2 linked regions of the Arabidopsis thaliana genome follow. The protein of the gene in region 2 interacts with the protein of the main gene of each other region in a pairwise test. Each region holds a gene or a part of one and is shown on either strand. Other genes may lie near its edges.

Region 1 (9,826 bases), on a different chromosome or scaffold from region 2:
ACATTTCAAGTACAAATGTAGTAATCCATTCTTAAATTCGAGACTTTAAACTAAACTTGAAGACTTTAGCATTATTTCACAGTTACAAACTAATAATATAAAATGAAAGGGAAAGGTTTCGATGAGAGAAGGAAGCTAGAACGACGGGAAAGTGACTAACCGGCAACATCTTGACCGTCGTAGATACCACGATGAACGGTACCAAAAGTGCCACGAGCAAGAACAGTCTTGATGATAAGTTTAGAAGGATCGATCTCCCACTCAAGTCTCTGTTTCCTCTTGCCAACAAATCCGCCGCCGTTTAGAGTGACAGGGGAAGAAGAAGCAGAGCCACCGATGGCGACGGCGGTTGTGTCTTCTTCATCTTTCTTCTTGTTCTTCTCTAAAGTCAAAGCTCTGCTTAAGTGTCTCTCTAGTTGCTCGTCTAAGCTTTTTAGATCAATCTGATCTGCTCGAACAAACCCATCCTTTCCTTCTTTCATTGTCAAGCAAAAGATCCTATGAATCTTTTTTTGGTCTTCTATAAGTTGTTGTTGATTTTGTTTCAACAAGTTTCTTCTCTCTCTCTCTCAGATAATCAAACGCAGAGGAAAATGGGAAAAGAAAATCATAAAAAGGGAAGATGAGAAGAGAAGAGAAGACCGCATGTGAGTGAGCACATGGTCTTGCCTCGACGCTAATGTATCTGTATTTACATTTCTTTTTTTCCTTTCATAAAATAAATACTTTTTTGTTTTGTATTTCCAAAAACAATAATCATCACTTATTATCAAAATAAGTGTTGGTACCAACCATTTTATTGACGAGAATAGTGAGTGCAAAAGTTTGGCCCATTACTCTGGATGTTCGGCCCATCAAAGATTTGAGCTCCCTCGTAAACCTAAATACAAAAATATTAGTATGTGAATTTCGACATCTACATTTTTGACGTCGTATGTGGAGTTTATCATACTTCTGATTTTGGTCTTTCCAACTTGGTTTCACATACTATGGATAAACTACTAATATAAATTGATGTTACGAAGTTAAAAGATATTAGGAAGAACTAAGCCGATCTTTCTCATCTTGATTTGATATTGACATGAAGATATCGGTTGTGGCATGTCTAAACAATTGGACATGCTTGTTACAACTCAGTGTGTGTTTGAAGTACGCTTTGATGCTATGAACTCGACCAACTCCCGAGTTATACTATGTAAAATATTGTTCTATTGTCAGCATATAGAGTATAATGATAAGTGGATCCAATCATGTCTCTTGACTTTTTTATTTTTTATAAATTGAACCAAATCTATTTTCACATACGCTTACACGTATGGGATACATATGATAATCAATTGATTTGAAGATTGAGGAATGGAACTTAGAGTGGTGGTTAAGTGTATTGGTTGCTTTAAATTGCACGAAGCGTGGATGATTTTGTTGGCGTATCCACGTACCAAATGGCTCCATGCATTGTCTGTTGTCCCTACCAAAACCTTCACTATTCTTCTTGAGATCAATATTAAATATATATATTCTCTCAAATAAAGCATATACACAATGGTGCTCTTCTTCTTTTCTCTTTTTTTTTTTATTTTAAATGTATTGTATAATCGCATGTTCGTTACATATTAACCAAATCAAATTAAAAGGTCAAATATAAAACAAAAGCTAGAATTTCTATGCCGAAAATATGGGAAATGAATACCTTTTGAAATTTGGGAGTGGCCATTAGAAGCTCCTCAATTTTATTTTATTTTCGCCTTTAAGGTGTACAAATTTCTTTTTAATTTAAAATTTAAAAATAATTAACATGATCAGCTCTTCCTCAACTATAACTCTAATTCCGTGTACTTAAATAGTTAAATTATACTATAAACCCACTTAGTTGCTTTATCTAAGAATTAAAGAATGTGAACTCATCTCCCATGCGTGTTTTCCTTTACTCAGAAGGAAATTAAATTTCAATATTCTCTGAAACCCATTACAAAACACGGTCATGCTAGAAGACTTGAAGTCGTGATATGTAGCATTTTTAATGCGTTTTGTGAATATATGTAAACTATATAGATGTTATATAAGTACTCTCGGTCCAACATTTTGGAGCACATTATACTATGATCTTGATATTCAGCCAGTTTATTATGTCATATTTTTCGAGAACATTTGTTGAATTGAAGAACATAAAAGATAGCAAATCAACATCTCATATATGTGTCTTTATCAAAAAAAAACATCTCATATATGTGTATTTTTTTTAACCACGCAAAATGAGAAGAGTGTTATTTTATGTGTATAAAAATGGTGGACCTAGGATATGATGATTGCTTTAGAGACACACAGAAAGAGAGAAACGGTGGAGGGTTTGTTTTGGGCCCCTGACACCATTAAAGCCAGTAAGGATTAAGTGTATCCACTTTTAATTAATCCTAATTTATATACTATACGGATTAGTAATATTATCCTAATGGTTTTTGTATAACTTAAATATTTGGCGTGGTAATATTAAATGTTACTCTGCTTGTATGATTGTGAGCAACCAGATCTCTCTTATCTGTACATCAAAGATTTGGTTCAGGTTACTAAATCATGGGTCTTCTACATCTATCACTATTGAATATAGTTTCAGATGTCTTTGATTGTCAATGAAAAATATCTTGGGTATAATTATTACTAGTCAGTGCCATTTTCTGACAAGAGAGAACGTGTCTGTTTCTTCTGGGGGATTAATTAGGTTTAGATAATTTTGGTATCAAGTTTTATGATTGATAATATACGATTAAGTCATTGGCTAACTAGCTAAAAAAACTTTTTTTGGCTAACTTGGTAATTTTTGGTGATGCAGGTTGTTCATTTGGGTTTCTGTATAGAAATTATCTCCTTTTTTGTCCTTCGAAACTTATCTTACAGTATCTAATATTGAATTTATATTTTCATAATATAAATTATTGTGGATTGGTCATAAATTATGATCTCAATAATAATGTTCTTATGTTATCATTATTTGTTTGTATTTTTATAAGTCAGTGAGTATGACTTGTACCGTTCCTACTTCTATAGTGAAAACGGAAGTCTTATAATGATAATGAAGCTTGTTTTTTTTTCTTAACACTTTAGTATATATAGAAAAATATACATATTTTGGAAGAGATTATAATAAAGAAAAGATGAAGAGCAATCAATTGTCTTGTAGGATTTTCCTTTCTTCTTGTTATATTTATCGTCACATATTTCATCGTTTTTTCACTATAAGTGCAATAGATACATTTTCCACGAAAGTGTTTTGGAGATCCATATGAAAATAGACCAACCAGAATGGGAAGACAAAACATAATGTGAAACCCAAAGAAGATGGAAATGGAGGGTGCAAAAAGGTAAAAAGTAAAAGTAGAAATGATTTGGGGTTTGAACGGTCAAGCCATTGCAAACGAGAGTATTTGAGAAATGATTGGACCTTCTTCTTCTTCACATTGGATACTTTCACTACTTTTCTTACTGACGATGAACGAAAGTACGAAACCAACAAAATACATAAGCGAGCGTCTTATAAAACATGATTGCATGAAGTAAGTATACTTTGGCTTCAAATGGATTTTTTTTTTTGTATAGCTTCATTGATGATCATTTTTATATTATGTGAATGATATTTGTGTTTCGGTGGAATTGAAAGATACTAGATTCCGTTAGCTGAATTTGTTTACATGTGATGAAAAGTGAAAGTCGACTGATTCTTCTTTCCAACCAAAACAAGCTATTTGGCATAATTTATTTTTCCACCAAATGGGCAAATGTATATCTTTTAGCCAAATATAAATAAGCCGAAAAAGCATGTTAACAACAATATGGATTATGAGTATATCTTACTAATTAGTAATTACATCGAGAAAAATAAACAACTATTTAGATTTTGAACCCACCAAATTCAGCTAATTTTCCCAAAAACATTTGTTATCGGATTTGGTAAACACTGTGGCATCACGATACCTAAACTTTAACGCACGCACGCATCTCTGTTATGATGAAGGTCACTTTCGTCTTTTTCTCTTGTATATATCTTCTTCCTCGCTAACTTCTCTTCGCCATCACTGAAACTAATATCTCTCTGCTTCCTCCTTAGAACTTCTATTTGCTTCTCTTGCATTCCACTTTTGTGAGTTTCTATTATCTTCAGTTTTCGAGATAGAACTTATAAACTCTGTAATAATATGCATTGTGCATATTTTTCTAGGTTAAGTTATTTGTTTTAAAGTGTTCTGTTTCTTGCTAGCACTAAATCTATTGCTCTCGTTTATTTTGCAGATTCATTTGAAGTAGTGAGATTGACTCCAGAGATAAAACAAGAAAGAGCAACAAAGCAACAGCATGCGGTGGTGGTTGTGTCTTTCTGCTTATGTTTTTCGTACAGTAGTAGTCTTCTGTCGTGTGATTCTGTAAACTGCGATCTTACTTCAGACATAGCTTTTTTATGTAATGGGGTCGTCTTTTTTCTTCACATTCCCTTACTTTGTCCGCCAAATTATTTAAGACTTCGTTTGGATACTCTGTTTTGGGAGAAGGAATCAGTTGGGGAGAAAGTAGTTATGGTTTGTCAATCAGCGGGACAGACAAGATTTCGTACACTCAAACACGAACACGGTATCACAGGAAACATTGTAGTTAGAGTCATTGCATGCTTTCAACCTCTCCAAGATTGCCAGGTTATTTTCTTGTTTGATGAGTTTATGTTATTGCAATATATTTAGATTTTTAAACCACCAGAACTTTTTTTTATTGATTTCGTTTTAGCTTTGATGTTGTGTATTTTGCAGGCTGAATATTTCCGTCAATTGTTGAAGCCCGTCACGTAGAGTAGCTCGATACTTATCGTTCTTGTTTCAAGCCTAGTTTCTTCTATCCATTTAGTTGGTAAGTTCCAGTCTTTGCACACATAATCTTTTGACCTCCCATTCTTGATTATAAGTAGCTGATTTGTTTGAGATGATGATGTCCTCTGTTTTGGATAGTTGATTTGTTTAGTGTTGGATGGGACAAGATCGTGGGTTTGGGTTTCCTACTCAGCGCTTGTGTTCCTTGTCTTCCCTAGCTCTGTCTCATCTCGGGAAGCAAGACTTGAATTTAGTATCTAAAACCTGCGGCGACACCACCGACATGTTTTCTACTCGTGGATCTTATCAAGTTTCTACCCAAGTCTCTCAATCCTATTTTGATGGGTATTGTGGATGGGTTCATGGGTCATCCCACCTACAGCAGCAGTTCTTGCCTCCTCAAAACCAATGTATGAAGCAAGTACCTCTTCAAGTAGACGGTGTTATATCTAAAGCTGAGGAACAATGTAGTCAGAAGAGGTTCCTAGTGTTTGATCAGTCTGGAGATCAGACGACTTTGCTACTCGCTTCCGATATACGGAAATCTTTTGAGACCCTAAAACAGCATGCCTGTCCTGATATGAAGGAAGAGCTCCAAAGAAGCAACAAAGATTTGTTTGTTTGTCACGGAATGCAAGGAAATAGCGAACCGGATTTGAAGGAGGATTCGGAAGAACTAAATGCATTGCTTTACTCTGAAGATGAGAGTGGTTATTGCTCTGAAGAAGATGAGGTTACAAGCGCAGACCATTCCCCAAGCATTGTAGTATCAGGCCGTGAGGACCAAAAAACATTTCTTGGAAGCTATGGACAACCATTAAATGCTAAAAAGAGAAAGATACTCGAAACCTCGAATGAGAGTATGCGGGACGCTGAATCGAGCTGTGGTAGTTGTGACAACACAAGGATTAGTTTTCTGAAACGTTCTAAGCTGTCTAGTAACAAGATAGGAGAAGAGAAGATATTTGAGACTGTAAGCCTCTTGCGCAGTGTAGTCCCCGGGGAGGAACTGGTGGACCCGATCTTAGTCATCGATAGAGCCATTGATTACCTTAAATCATTGAAGATGGAAGCGAAAAATCGAGAAGCATGAGGTTCTTTGTTTGTAGGATACCTAAGACATATTAGCATTGGCAAGTGGACTTGGTTTCTAAACAAAGTAGTAGACATATTGGACCGTGGTACTCTTGTCAAGCTACAAAGGGATCAGGTTGTTGCTAGTTGGAAGATAAACCAAATAATGTTTCGGAGTTGCAAGAGAAGGAATTGATATTAAAATGCAAATTGAATATTTCATATTAGTTGATGATTAAGATGGATTGCGAAATTTTAATTTCAGTCGTTTAGCTGTTTGTTATATCATGTAGTTGCTTCTTCTTTTTCTATAAGATTTTGTCGGTGTGGTTGTTATTGTTCATCTGTGAGTCGTGTGGCCGAGAGAATCATAAATGGGAAAGTTGAATAACCATTTTCAATGATAGGCCAATTATAATGGTAAACACACAATTAATTTAACTTTTTTACAAATGATTAAAGATGTTTGTTTTCGTGCCAAACAGACATGTGATTTGGTGGGATATTTGGCAGTCTTTTGTCAATATGGTAGCAATTTTTGCCTATTGTTTCATGATTAAGACTCTTATCACTTGTCATTTCCTGACTTTTGTGCATAGAACTAGTGACATGTGATATACTGTAGTCCCATCCAGTTTATAAGTTTTGAATACATGTCTCTAGCCATTCAGAATAAATCTTGCAGCTAAATGTTTTAGAAACCGGACCAGATACCGGTTCATCCCAATTTCAGCCACATGAACGATTCTTGGTCTGCAGGACCGGACCGGTCCGGTTTTTAAAACATTACAAAAATAATTTTATATGCGTAATAAAAAAATGAAGGAACAAAACTGTAATGTTCGTCTCGGGAGACACAATCCAGAAACGAAACGCCTTTTGTGAGAGAGAGAAGAGAAGAGAAGAGAAGAGAAGAGAAGAGAAGAGATCGCACCACACAAAAACTACAATTTTGTTTTGGAAATTACTCTCACCCACCTGAATTTTGTTGCTAGAGAGACAACACTTAGGTTTTGGGCGGAGTTCTGATGTGAAATGAATCGGCGTAGAAAATTTTCAGGATCCTCCAATTCGTCAGAGAGTGTAGCGAGGAGTGTCTGATCCGTTCGCTGATTCTAATGGCTGGACGGGTCTTCGAAGCCTGGAAGGGAAGTAATGTAAGCTTTTCTTTTTCTTTCTTAAGGCGTCTCGATTTCGCTTTACTCTTTTCCCTTTTCTGGAATCTACATTTAGGTTTTCTTAAAGGCGACATTTTTATGACTTCACTGTCCTAGTTTTAAGAAAAATAATTGCAGAGAAGAATGTTCTGAGTGGATTTGTTGTTTTGATGAGAACAATGTGGACATTTTTGAGGGAAATTGTACTTTTGTGTGAAGAAATTAGTATCATCATATTCAATTAGATTACATTGGTGAGCTTTATTGGATTCGACTGTATATGTTGAATTTGGTGGCTTTAAATTTCGAATCTTTTTCAACTCTATCACTGTTGATAGTGTCATTTATTGTTATCATTGCGAAGATCTAAGTTTGAACATATATACCGTATTTGTTAGATTTGGTTTGGTTCCATGCTGATGCATCACCATATTTACAACATTGATGAGCTTTCTATTCACTATTGGTTCACTCTCCAAGCATGAACTTGCATTTTTGGTGAACTCTATCAGTCTATTGTCAGATTTTGTTCAATGGAACCCATTACCACTTGTGAATGTAGCTTTTGATGCAATGCTCTATGCTGTATTTATTCTGAACATGATGATCATCTTCTCTTTTGTTGGTCTTTTGCAGAAGTTTCTGTTTGGTGGGAGATTGATATTTGGGCCAGATGCTTGGTCTATTCCTTTTACCTTCCTGCTCATCATAACTCCCGTTTGTTTCTTTTCTGTATTTGTTGCAACACATCTTCGCCGCGAGCTCTTACCAAACAATGCGGGACATGTGTTCTTAGTGGCAGGAGTTCTATTTACTGTCTTTGTAAGTTTTCTCCAATGCCCATTTGATATTTGATTTCTTGTTCACATGTATCTTGTATACCTTATAATCTTATCATGGGATATTATAGGATCTTATCAACTCTTTTATAAGTTTTGAATGTTGATTATATACATGCATTATAGTATGATTCACTTGTAATTATACGACAATAAGTTAAAAATCTTACCAAAATTTTGAAATCACACCTCAATAACATGTATCTTACTGTGTTTCTTGTTATGTTCTTTCCTCTAGCTTAGATATAAAGTTTGAAGTATTATTTTGAATGTTGTCACTTTTTGTGTGGCTTTTGGATTATGCTTTTTTTGGGCAGGTTTATTATTCTTCCTTCATTTATGTTTTTTTTAAAATCATGTAAATACTTAATAGGTACTGATCCTTCTCTTCCTCACTTCTGCGCGGGATCCTGGAATCGTTCCAAGAAATTCGCATCCGCCAGAGGAAGAACTATGCTATGATACAACTGTATCAAGTGATGGAAGACAAACACCCACTGTTCAAATTCCTAGGACGAAGGAAGTCATGGTTTATGGCGTTTCTGTTAGAGTTAAATATTGTGATACATGCATGCTTTATCGGCCTCCTCGATGCTCCCATTGTTCCATTTGCAACAACTGTGTTGAGCGCTTTGATCATCATTGCCCTTGGGTAGGCCAATGCATTGGAGTGGTAAGCTGATTCAAAAGCATATTAAACTGGGAAGATATGCAGTTCATAAGTTCTTATAAGCAGAAAAATGTGCAGGATTTTCTATAAAAGGATTTCATATTTTGAGGATCTGGTTTTTCTAGTTGTTGACAAAACTGTGAACTTTAATTTTCCATCTTGACATTTTGTTTTGTGTGTGTTGTGGGCAGAGAAACTATAGGTACTTCTTTATGTTTGTTTCTTCGGCAACTATTCTCTGCATCTACATTTTTTCGATGTCGGCATTATACATCAAGGTTCTGATGGATAACCATCAAGGTACTGTGTGGAGGGCAATGCGAGAATCACCCTGGGCGGTTATGCTGATGATATATTGCTTTATTTCCCTGTGGTTTGTTGGAGGGCTTACTGGGTTTCACTTGTACCTCATTAGCACAAACCAGGTTAGTTTTGTTCTGCTCAGGGTATGCGTTGTGTAAATTGTGTCCTATCTGATACCCAACATTTCAATTTTTCAGACGACCTATGAGAATTTCCGGTACAGATCAGACAATAGAATCAACGTTTATAACCGTGGGTGTTCAAACAATTTTTTTGAGACATTTTGCTCAAAAGTTAAACCCTCAAGGAATGACTTCAGAGCGTTCATCAAAGAAGAACCTCCAAGGAATATTACATTGGCTACCACATGGGAACGACCAGAAGAAGCAGATGAAGAAAACAGGGAGGAACGGCGCCAGAAGGTGGAAGACGATCTAGACATCGATGAAGATGTTATGAAACTGCAGCAGCGTTTAAATGACGAAGAGGGCAGCGATACAGCGCATCACAAGATCGATATTGACCAAATGAGAATCGGGTCTAATGAGAGAGCGCCAACAATTCGATCAGAAGCCAGGCATGGAAACTGGGGAGCAAGAAGCAATGCACAGGAGGAGGACGTAATTGCTGGTTCTTCAGTAAGAGAAAGTAGAAGCTATGCAGCTGCAGAGGAGGGACGGTGATGAGTGAACGATGGTAGTAGGGTAATTATTTTGAAGCTTTTTCTTTCTTACTAAGTTTTTATTGTTTTCAATTTTTCATTATTTTGTGGGTTTGGTTTGATTTGGGAGTTGTGAACACTATTTGTGAATAAGTTTAGTGTAAGCTTGGGTAGAGGTCGAATTAAGTTATAAGTAATCAACTTTTTGAATGTTTTGCCGTGATGATGATTTCTAATGATGATTTAGGTTACTCTGGTTTTTGCCTTAAAATAGA
Region 2 (9,826 bases):
CAAAAGCTCAATCTCCATTGAACTCTTCCTACCACTATAATTCACTAACCGAAACACATCTGAGTACTTTGGAACTATTCTGATAACATAATCATCAGGGAATCCAAAGCTCCGCTTAAACTCGTTAAGCTTCACGACATTGAGACGCTGATTAACACTCAACATAAGCAGCTTTGCAAGCCTATCTGCGAGTACAGGCTCTTGTGTATCTTTGACCAACTCTTCCTCTTCCACAAGCGTCATCATCGGTTTCGTTAACCTACAGTAATACTCATCGTTCTCGAGATAAACATGGAAACAACAAGGGTATTTCTTAAGCCAATTCAAGGCTTTCCCCTGAAGATCAAGAGTCTTAAACTTCTTCTGTAGAAACTTAATCGATGCAACCTGATTGGGACACCTTAAGATAATGTTCTTGAGCCGACTGTTAACAATCCATCGCTTGTTACGCGAGAGAGCAGATTCGAGATCAGGGTCTTTCTTCGTTGACCAAAGTGAGAATCTTCGGATTAACAATGGAGCATACTTGGTACCCAGAATCCGATATAACTCTCGTGTCATAGCCATATCAGTCTCTGACTACCAAACCTAATCAAACTCAAACTTCAATTATTGACGAATGCGATTGGTTATAAGCAAAAAGAAATAGAAAAGCCTCCACCTTTAGAGTATCAGAGGAGCAAAACAGAACCCTAATACCGCCACGAAGGAAGTATGATCGGAGGAGATAAGCGAGGAGCAGAAAGGAGAAGCCTTTGAAGTCGATTCATCAGACTCAACAACGCCACAGTTTCGACAAGAGGTAGAAAAGAGATTTTGCTTCTGAACCCGAGATTCGAAGGAACAAATTTTATGCCCTTACTCTCTGCAGCGAAGAGACTGTGGCAGAACAGGGACTAGTGCTGGTGAAAGTGAAAGCTTTCTTCTTTCTAAGACTTCTTTGTTTGGGTTTAGTGTTTGTTGTTTACTCAGTTTTGATTATGATAATTACAATGCATGCTTGCAAATTTCTAACCATTAATTTATAATTCCACAGCTTGCAAATCAAACGTATGAAGAAAATCAAAGTTTCAAGTCATGTATATATACAAACTTCAAAGGGTCCAAAAACTCAAAAGCAAACAAATGCAAATCATAAACACACTAAACACTCAACTTTGAAGTCCTATCTTTTATACAAAAAATCAAAACAAACAAATGAAAGTATTGCAGTGAGTGTCACAACAACACTGTACAAGCCCACACAAGCCTATTCTTTATCTTACGTAAACGCAAACTCTGCAACCACGCCTGTTACCCCTTCTCATTGGCCTTTGGTTGAAATATTTGCACCAGAGACCACAAAATGTCCATCCTCTGCATTACTTTGCTGTTTTGGCTCTGCCATTCATATATCAGTATCTCGATGTTAGTCAGTCATATATATCATACTAATCCAAAGTTCAATCAAAACCAAGGAAAATACTTTGATTTGCTTTGGAATCTCTTTCATGAATTGGGTAATTCGACTTCCTACCTCAGTTACAAAGCATATCCATGTTTTCTCGCCCTGAGTCTCGGTGAAACCTCTTAGGATGACGAGGTCTAAGCTCCTTATGACGTTTGCTATCTCAAGAAAATGGCCACATTCTTCACATAACATCTGTCCAATACCCAAAAATACTTTTAATACACACTCGCAGAACTTGGGACTCGAGTTCAAACAAAGATTAAACTAAACCAAAGAAAAGAGACAAAATGTAAGATTACATACCTCGATAAGCACCATCCCCTGCTTGTTCAGATTCTCCACGATGATCGAGCTTACTTGAAGATGACCTCCAACCTCCACTGCGCAGCTTGAACCTTGCATACCAGTTTCCTTTTGTTGCATCTGAGATTACAAAGGTATAAGCTAATTTTGATATTTACTTCTGATTTTCAGTTGAGTTTTTCTATATATCTCCATGTGCCTAATAATCCTATCTTCTCATTCAAGGATTCAGAAATTTGATCCACTATTTGCTACATCAATCAATCAAACCTAACAAACTGCTTAATGTGTTCATTTACAAACTATGGAGGCTGGAATAAAAATTTCTAGGATAGAACAGAGATTATCAGTTATCAAGAAAGCTGACATTTTTACCTTTTCATTAGCACTTTTACTGAGCTTTTCAGCATGCTTAGTAACATTCTGCAAAAAGAGCATGTGTTTGATCGTTCGTTCTAGCAAAGAATCGATACTGCACTGAAAATGTGACAAAAATATTAGTGAATGACAAAAATATATTATAAGTTAAATTCATTACAAAGGAAGGTGCAAGTAATCTTGTAGCTAGGAAGAGAAAAATCACCTTAGATCCATTAGGCACAAGTTCTCTAAGTTCCTTGATTCGATCTTGAATAAGTTGCCTGTCTCTTGGGCGAGGTCGAGAACTTTCACCAGGTTTGGCCCTCTTTTTGTTCTTCTTGGGTATGTCCAGGGATGTCTGAAACTGATCACTAGAGGAGCTGGGGTACGTAGATGAGAATCCAATTGAAGAAAACGCTCCACAAATATCTGATGAATTTTGTTGGGTATCCACCTCTGCCATTGGTGGCTGATTCATAGCACTATTAATTGGGTTAACAATATTATGCTTCTTCTGACCTGAGGGTTCTGCCAGTTCCATGTTAGTAAGCAATGATTGTACCGATCTGCTCGACATCATATCATCCCTCGCATTACCATCTCTTTGACACACATTAGCAACCACAGCATCTAGAAGATTCTCAGGGCCAGGGTCAAACGTGAGCTGGCTATGACTCATATCGTCTGTTGGTCTCATTGTTGAACCATGTTCAGACTTCAGTAGCTCCTCCTGACCAGTGTTCGTTTGCTTGAAAGCAGAGCCTAACGCTTCTAGTAGCTCGCTGCCAGCAAAAGTATACCCAGATGAGATCAAAGCATCAAATTGACTAGACTCGCAGTTCCTCCCCAGCATACGCTCAGTCTCTTTTATGTATTTATTTCCTTGGTTCTCAGATAGTTGGAACACTTCATTATGGTAAGAACTTTCTTTATCTGTTCTCGAGGTAGCCTGAAAAGTTGAGTCCAGGCGTGGATATGATTGGCTTGTTATCAATCTTTCAGCCTCAATTGCTAAAGCAGATGTGCTTGTATCATTGAGCACATGATTCTTCATATACAGATGTAAATTAGGATCTAAATCCCTTGAATCTTTGCAGCCACTAGTCATTCCCACATGAGGTGCATCCCTGATTATATTAGTACCTACTTGATTCTCATGTTTGGCACCAACCAAGTCAACTGGAAAGCCAAACGTAACACCACTATAACTCCCACAAGTAGATCCTTGCACAACTTCACGACCACCAACAACTTGGGCTGCCTTCTCCATGACAAGACATGACGAAGGAGTATTGTAAGGCATGCTATCACTTCTTCTAGTTTTGTATTGAGTTAGAATATTGGACTCTTCCACGTCCATAGCTTTGTCAACTTCTCCAGAGCAATCAGGGAAAGCCTCAGCATGTAAACCTTCAGAAGGCATTTTTGGCTGCAACAAAATTATACAACACATCATGGTCTACTCAGGAAGTCAGTGGAGGTTTGAGTAACTGTTAGAAGAACCCTAAGCACTTTACTCTCCCCATTTTGCAAATAACAAGAAATCTAGAAAAAACATGAATCCATATTTGAATGAAGAAGATCTTTACCAGACATAACGAATTGTTCATATTACATTGCCTTAAATTTGCTGCATGGTCTGCCAATGGATCCCTAAGTGCCAGAAATAAATGTCGGATATGATTCACAAAATTCACATCTTCATTAACCTGCTCCAAACAAATACAAAATAAGACCAGATATGTATATATGTGCCATCTATTATAAGTGTGCAGGTGTTCTTCCTGGCTATTATTTTGTAACTGCGAACACCGCATCCAATTTTAAGATCTTACTTACTTTACACAAAGAGCCTAGCTGAACAACTCCACATGGACCAACAGCTACTACAAGAATGGTCTGCGGAGAAGGAAGAATAGATATTTTAAAAAGGAAAGTCTCCAGTGGCAAACTTTGAGGATGTTCTTGACAAGTATGTATAATAAAGCAGACAGAAAGAGCACTAAAGAAAAATCCAAATACCTTAATTCCAGCAGAAATTTGACTTTCCCAAACGTTATGAAACTGTAATTAAAAAAAGACATTTGGTTTAAAAACACGAAGAAAACAAATTTAATTTCAGATAGAAAGTCCCTAACCTCAAATGCTGAGTTACAGTTGTTATAATTTTCGGGAAATACCCATTGGTGTTCTCCAGAAACTGCAACTTGTCCTACAATCCTGTTTATATAGATATGATAACATAATTCAACAATAGACCCAAGATTGTTAACTATTGTAAAAGCTAACATCAAGCTCAAGGACACAACAAAAGCTTTGCATTATGTGGCTACTGTCAAATAAAAAAAGAAGGAAAAAGGGCACATCAAACTATAGGCATGATAAGAGTGAATCAGAGCAATATATTCTTACCCTTCCCCTAGAGAATAGACATGATAAGACATCTTTGCCACAGCTAACCCAAGGGGGTCATGTGCTCCATGCATATTCGTCCCATGATGGTCATAGTAAGCATCCTCCAAGGTAAGTACCCTACAGGTGTTCATTATTCAAAAAATTGAGAAACTATCTGGTCAACTAAAACACTAAAACATATAAAGAAATAGAATCCTGAACTGCACACAAAACTTAAAAGTACAGAAACAATCTTCAGACACTTAAACTACAATTGTTAACTTAAAGCTGCTGCATTTCGATATAAGGTTCCATATTTCCACTCTAGCAAGTTGAAGTCAATACACCTAAATCAATTACCACAGTTCTAACTCGTAGACAATTATAATGATCCACCACGCAAAGACAGTAAAGAGAATTGTTTAGATGACTCACATTCGAGATCCTCGATGATTAAGTTGCCAGAACACAGCATAGTCCCAGTCCGTGTTAAAGCAAAAGCTCTTCAGTATCTCTTGAGAAGTAGAACCCATTCTAAAGGGTAAACCTCAAAACCCCGGACTCAAAAACCACAAATCAGAACTCTAAACAGTTGTTTTATACTATCTCCTCCCCAACCTCTAATAAAAAAAAAAAGAAGCTTCTTTTGATTCGTTTTCGATGAGATACAAAGTAACTAACTACCTCTGTAAGAACCTCTTCCAGCTTGTTCCCTTCGTAAACCAGCTCTTGGTTTTATGGGCGGACCTACTTCATCTTGTGATATTTGCCTCTTACCCATCCCTCCCAAAGATACAAACTTTGAATCGGATTACGAATAAAAACCCAAGAAGGAAACTAATTTAGCCCTAGCTCAAACAAAAAACACCGAGAGAATCAGAATTTGAAACAGAGATAGATCTGCTGCAACTGCTACTCGCCATGGGAGAAATCAATATTGAAAATTCAAAAGCTAGAGAAGAAGAAAGAAGACAGTAGAAAAGGAAGCAGAGAGAGACAGAGAGATTGTAAGAAAGAATCGAGTTTAGCTTATGTCAGAAGATATTGATTAACTACAACAGTTGATCTCTGCATCACTCAGAGACACTAACAATCTCAGCCCAGAAATTCGCCGGAAAAAGGAAAGAACAGAGATAGAGATAGAGAGAGAGAGAGGGTAAAGGAGGCAGAGGTAAGCTAAAAGACGTTCCTTTTTAAAAGGGTGAAGGAGAAATCGAGCAAGTAAGCGGGTGAATCACGCACCATGCTCATTTTAGCAACGAAAGGCCAAGGATCGGTGTGCGCATGTTAACTATTCGAGTTAGTGGGATGGTGAGTGTGTGTGTGTTTGAGGGTATGGGATTTTATGGAGATAGGATCTCTCTCTCTTATAGAGTAATGGCCAGCAAAATGATTCACCAACTGAACTTTGCTTCCTTCTTTACTTTTTTTTTTACCCATTACTCACAAATTTATAAAATATTTTACACATTGCACTAATTTATCGTGTGTTTAATTACAAATTCATCACATTAACATCACAATCTTTTTTGTATTTCCCGCGGAAATTGTGCGCTAAACATTGTATACTCGGCTCGTTTACCGAAGTTGTAGGAAGTCTACTATGAATTGTATATCCCATGGGAGAAGAGAGTGATGAGGCTAGAGCTGCGGAATTAGTGGTAGGATTCTTAAAGGCAAGAGTTTGTGAGTCGAACCCAATTGTCTTTCTTGATAAGTTTGTATCATATATTTTATCTACAGAGTAGATAATTCGAATCTCGTATATGTATAAAGAGGTTAACCGTCTAGCAAAAATATTAGTGAACTATGTATATACTTTACTTTAAGGTGTCTATTTGTTTGATTTGACTCATACGTTGGTGGATAAGATTGTAAAAAAAAATGTTTGAGGAATTGCGTTTTCGAGGCTCATTCGTCTATAGTTTAATTTTTTTTTTATTTTGAATAAATTTTGAAGAGACAATTGTTTTTCCCATATACTATTAAAATATAATACTTTTGTAATAAAAAACCTATGATATTTAAAATGTTGTACATGTTTTATTACAACTTCCATAATAATTTTCCTTCTAATTCATAAGATAAAATATTCCGAAAATTTAGCAAGTGTCCCTCGTAGTCGTAGTGACAATCCTACTATATTATTTGGGAAGTACATTTTAAATATAACCTTAATTTTTGTAAGTAATTACATAGGTATGCCATTAGAAATAAAATTTTAAAAAGTAAATTAATTTATCTCTTTAAGGATTAAAAAGTCAAATACTAATTTAATTAATTAAATTAATTAAAAAACGAAATACAATATTAATTTCCAAAAATAATAGCCAATCAAAATCAACATATAAGATTTGATATCTAAATTTAATTAATTTAATTTAATTAGAAAAACGAAATAGATTATTAATTTCTAAAAAAGTAACCAATTAAAATCAACAAACTATATTTGGTATCTAAATTATCATATTAATTTTTTATTAATTATTATAGTTCACTTCTCATCTTTATATGATTCTATTTATACGGAAAAATAATATCATCATTATAAAAAAATAATTAGAGTTTTTTCGCATATGCCATAATTTGAATTTTTAAAAACAAATATAAACTGTTCAATACATGAAATAATATTATAACGGGTGAAAAATAGATTTAAGAAAACTTTCTACTGAGTAAGGGGACATAAATTTGAAATATTCATATTCAATTTCATACATATTATATTGAAAATTTATAATCTTATATATTACAATAGTTAATAACATATTAGATGTGATTCAATTTTTAATATAAGCTGAAAAATCCTAGAATTGACGGGTTTAGATCGATATTAATACAAGATGGTATACTACATGTGAAACTCTTAAATTAACAATCAAACTACAAGTGTATAATCTTAAACACTAAACAATATAGATAATATCAACAAAACATATACAACTCACAGTTTACTATACATTTAAAATCAAATAAAATAATATCATATATTTTTAAATCATCTTTACAATAAAAGTTTTTAGTTTAACTAAAATATAAGCCTACCTGCGGTATACTGCAAATTAATCTCTAGATTATAGGACTTATTGGATCTAAAGACGGGTCATCAAAGATTTCCTAAACTGAAGCAAAATATACTGAATATTCAAATATCTATCTGTTACCAAATTATAAACAAATAAGTCAATTTAATATTTTATATATGAAATCAATTAAATCTTAATCACATAAAATTAGCACAAAAAAGAAGTATTCAACAATTAAAAATTATCAAATCTCTGTGTTATATAAGTTTTGATACAATATTTGAATAAAGTGTAATATACCTTTTTAATTTGTATTCTTTAACTAATTTAAGCTAACTAATATATTTGCTAATCTTATATCTATTAAAACCGACTATCGTTTCTTATCTCTATAGTATTTTTGCAAGACTTTTTTGGTGGATTTGGATAAAAATGCATTCGGGTCATATGGTACATTTCCCTATTAAATAAATATGGTGCATACCCTTTTAATTTGTATTCTTTAACTAATTTAAGCTAACTAATATATTTGCTAATCTTATATCTATCAAAACCGACTATCGCTTCTTATCTTTATAGTATTTTTGCAAGACTTTTTTGGTGGATTTGGATAAAAATGCATTCGGGTCATATGGTACATTTCCCTATTAAATAAATATGGTGCACTCCTATGTTATTAGCTAAAATATTTAGATTATAATTCAGAGTCATATCATTAATAAAATTAATATTAATAAAATAAATGACTTTTTGGCAAGACGGATTTGGAGGGACGGGTTTTTGAATCAACATTAATAAAAAAGTAAAATATAATTAATCCACTGTTTCAATATGGGTTAAATCTTTAATTTATTATTTTTTAAGACCACTAATATTAAACATATCAAATCATCCTAATTTAGAAAAAATTATATAAAACCAAAAATGTTATATGGTATGTATAATGTTACTATATATAAAATTAAACTATAAAATATAAATGTATTAGAGAATGATACAATTTGCAAAACTTTTATATATAAAAAATAATTCTAAAATTTTAAAAATTACTACTTTGAAAAAAATCATGGGACGGATAAAAAAATTACAGAACGTGTTTTATTTTGGAATTGGGTTATATGGTGGATGTATTTGAATCAATATTTATAAAATTTTAAAATATTATTAATATGTTGTTTTAATAGGGGTCAAAACTTCAGTTTTTTTAACAATTGTCTCATGAATTCGTGGTATACCGTTACTTAATAACAATTATAAACTGTAAAATATAAATATTTTGTAAAAATAAAATTTGCAAGTTTTAATATATATTACTTTTAAAAATAAATCGTCCCGCGGTATACCGCGGATTAAAATCTAGTAATTATTTATAACTACAATTTGTTATTCTATTTTCTCGCAATGAATTTGAGGATTTTCAGCTTTAGAAAAAAAAATGATTTCATTTGCCAATATAAAGTTGAAACATATTGGAACTTTATAACTTGTCCATACATATTCTCACAAAATGATTAACTACATCGCTTCTTTTATTTCCCTTTTTGTATTGTCAACAAAAATCCAATGTCTTTTTCATACTCACTCATTTTGTCTTGTTTACCATAATCATCCTTGGACAAAGCAAATACCCTCGAATAATTTATGTGCTGGCCTATGTTATTTTTGGTTGCGGGTCCGTTATATAACCAAAATCACATAAGCTAATAATCACTAATATTTGTCAAAACTTATAGTCACCTTTAAATTGAAATATTGATAACTCATGTGTGTAAAATTTAGACGCAAGTTAAACAGCAAAAACATCCAATTCTTAGAGTAGGATGTTCAATCCAAATAAACCAAACCGGCTCAATCTCTGAACCGAAAACAACTGATTCTACAAGCAAACAAAACCTTAATTTGACTATTTTCTCTATTTTTGTCATTTAATAAACCGAGACAGAATCTGATCCAAACCAAAGAAGTAAAATACCAAACCAACACTTTTTTAGAAACATAAAGATAGGTAGTTAAATTATAACCAAAATTGAAATCGCATCAAACCACATTATACCACTCGGTAACATGTTTTAGATAGATACAAAATATTTTAAATCGTAACTTTTTAAATTTTAAAACTAACTAAAATCTAGATTGTAACATCTCTAATTTTAAACTATTTGTGAATAGTTTGTAACGATATTTTTCAAGTGTAAAATTACTTTGCAAAAACAAGAACAAAAACAACAATTGTTAGGCTCGAATTGACGGCCTAAAACAATTCCTAGTCCAAGTTTTTTTTTAAGATGTTGAC

The links.
Region 1: the proteins of CPUORF7 (region 2) and AT5G50010 interact in binary tests that used the Arabidopsis thaliana proteins (3 or more experiments, as listed by UniProt).

What each region holds. Positions count from the first base shown.
Region 1 is NC_003076.8:20,344,552-20,354,377, forward strand, and holds AT5G50010 (transcription factor bHLH145), read left to right. Parts: upstream 1-4,063; 5' UTR 4,064-4,132; intron 4,133-4,281; 5' UTR 4,282-4,679; intron 4,680-4,790; 5' UTR 4,791-4,887; intron 4,888-4,985; 5' UTR 4,986-5,004; coding exon 5,005-5,940; 3' UTR 5,941-6,279; downstream 6,280-9,826. Other genes in the region: AT5G50000 (Protein kinase superfamily protein), read right to left, coding at 161-482; AT5G50020 (DHHC-type zinc finger family protein), read left to right, coding at 6,659-6,690, 6,982-7,078, 7,715-7,900, 8,291-8,590, 8,779-9,012, 9,088-9,573.
Region 2 is NC_003071.7:13,334,892-13,344,717, reverse strand, and holds CPUORF7 (transcription factor bHLH155-like protein), read right to left. Parts: upstream 5,632-9,826; 5' UTR 5,289-5,631; coding exon of another isoform or gene 5,192-5,288; 5' UTR 5,041-5,191; coding exon 4,943-5,040; intron 4,646-4,942; coding exon 4,526-4,645; intron 4,334-4,525; coding exon 4,252-4,333; intron 4,178-4,251; coding exon 4,136-4,177; intron 4,013-4,135; coding exon 3,953-4,012; intron 3,823-3,952; coding exon 3,703-3,822; intron 3,543-3,702; coding exon 2,337-3,542; intron 2,231-2,336; coding exon 2,129-2,230; intron 1,874-2,128; coding exon 1,754-1,873; intron 1,715-1,753; coding exon of another isoform or gene 1,643-1,714; coding exon 1,466-1,642; coding exon of another isoform or gene 1,409-1,465; intron 1,381-1,408; coding exon 1,294-1,380; 3' UTR 1,056-1,293; downstream 1-1,055. Other genes in the region: AT2G31290 (Ubiquitin carboxyl-terminal hydrolase family protein), read right to left, coding at 1-567. UniProt on the Arabidopsis thaliana protein: Transcription factor that may regulate root development.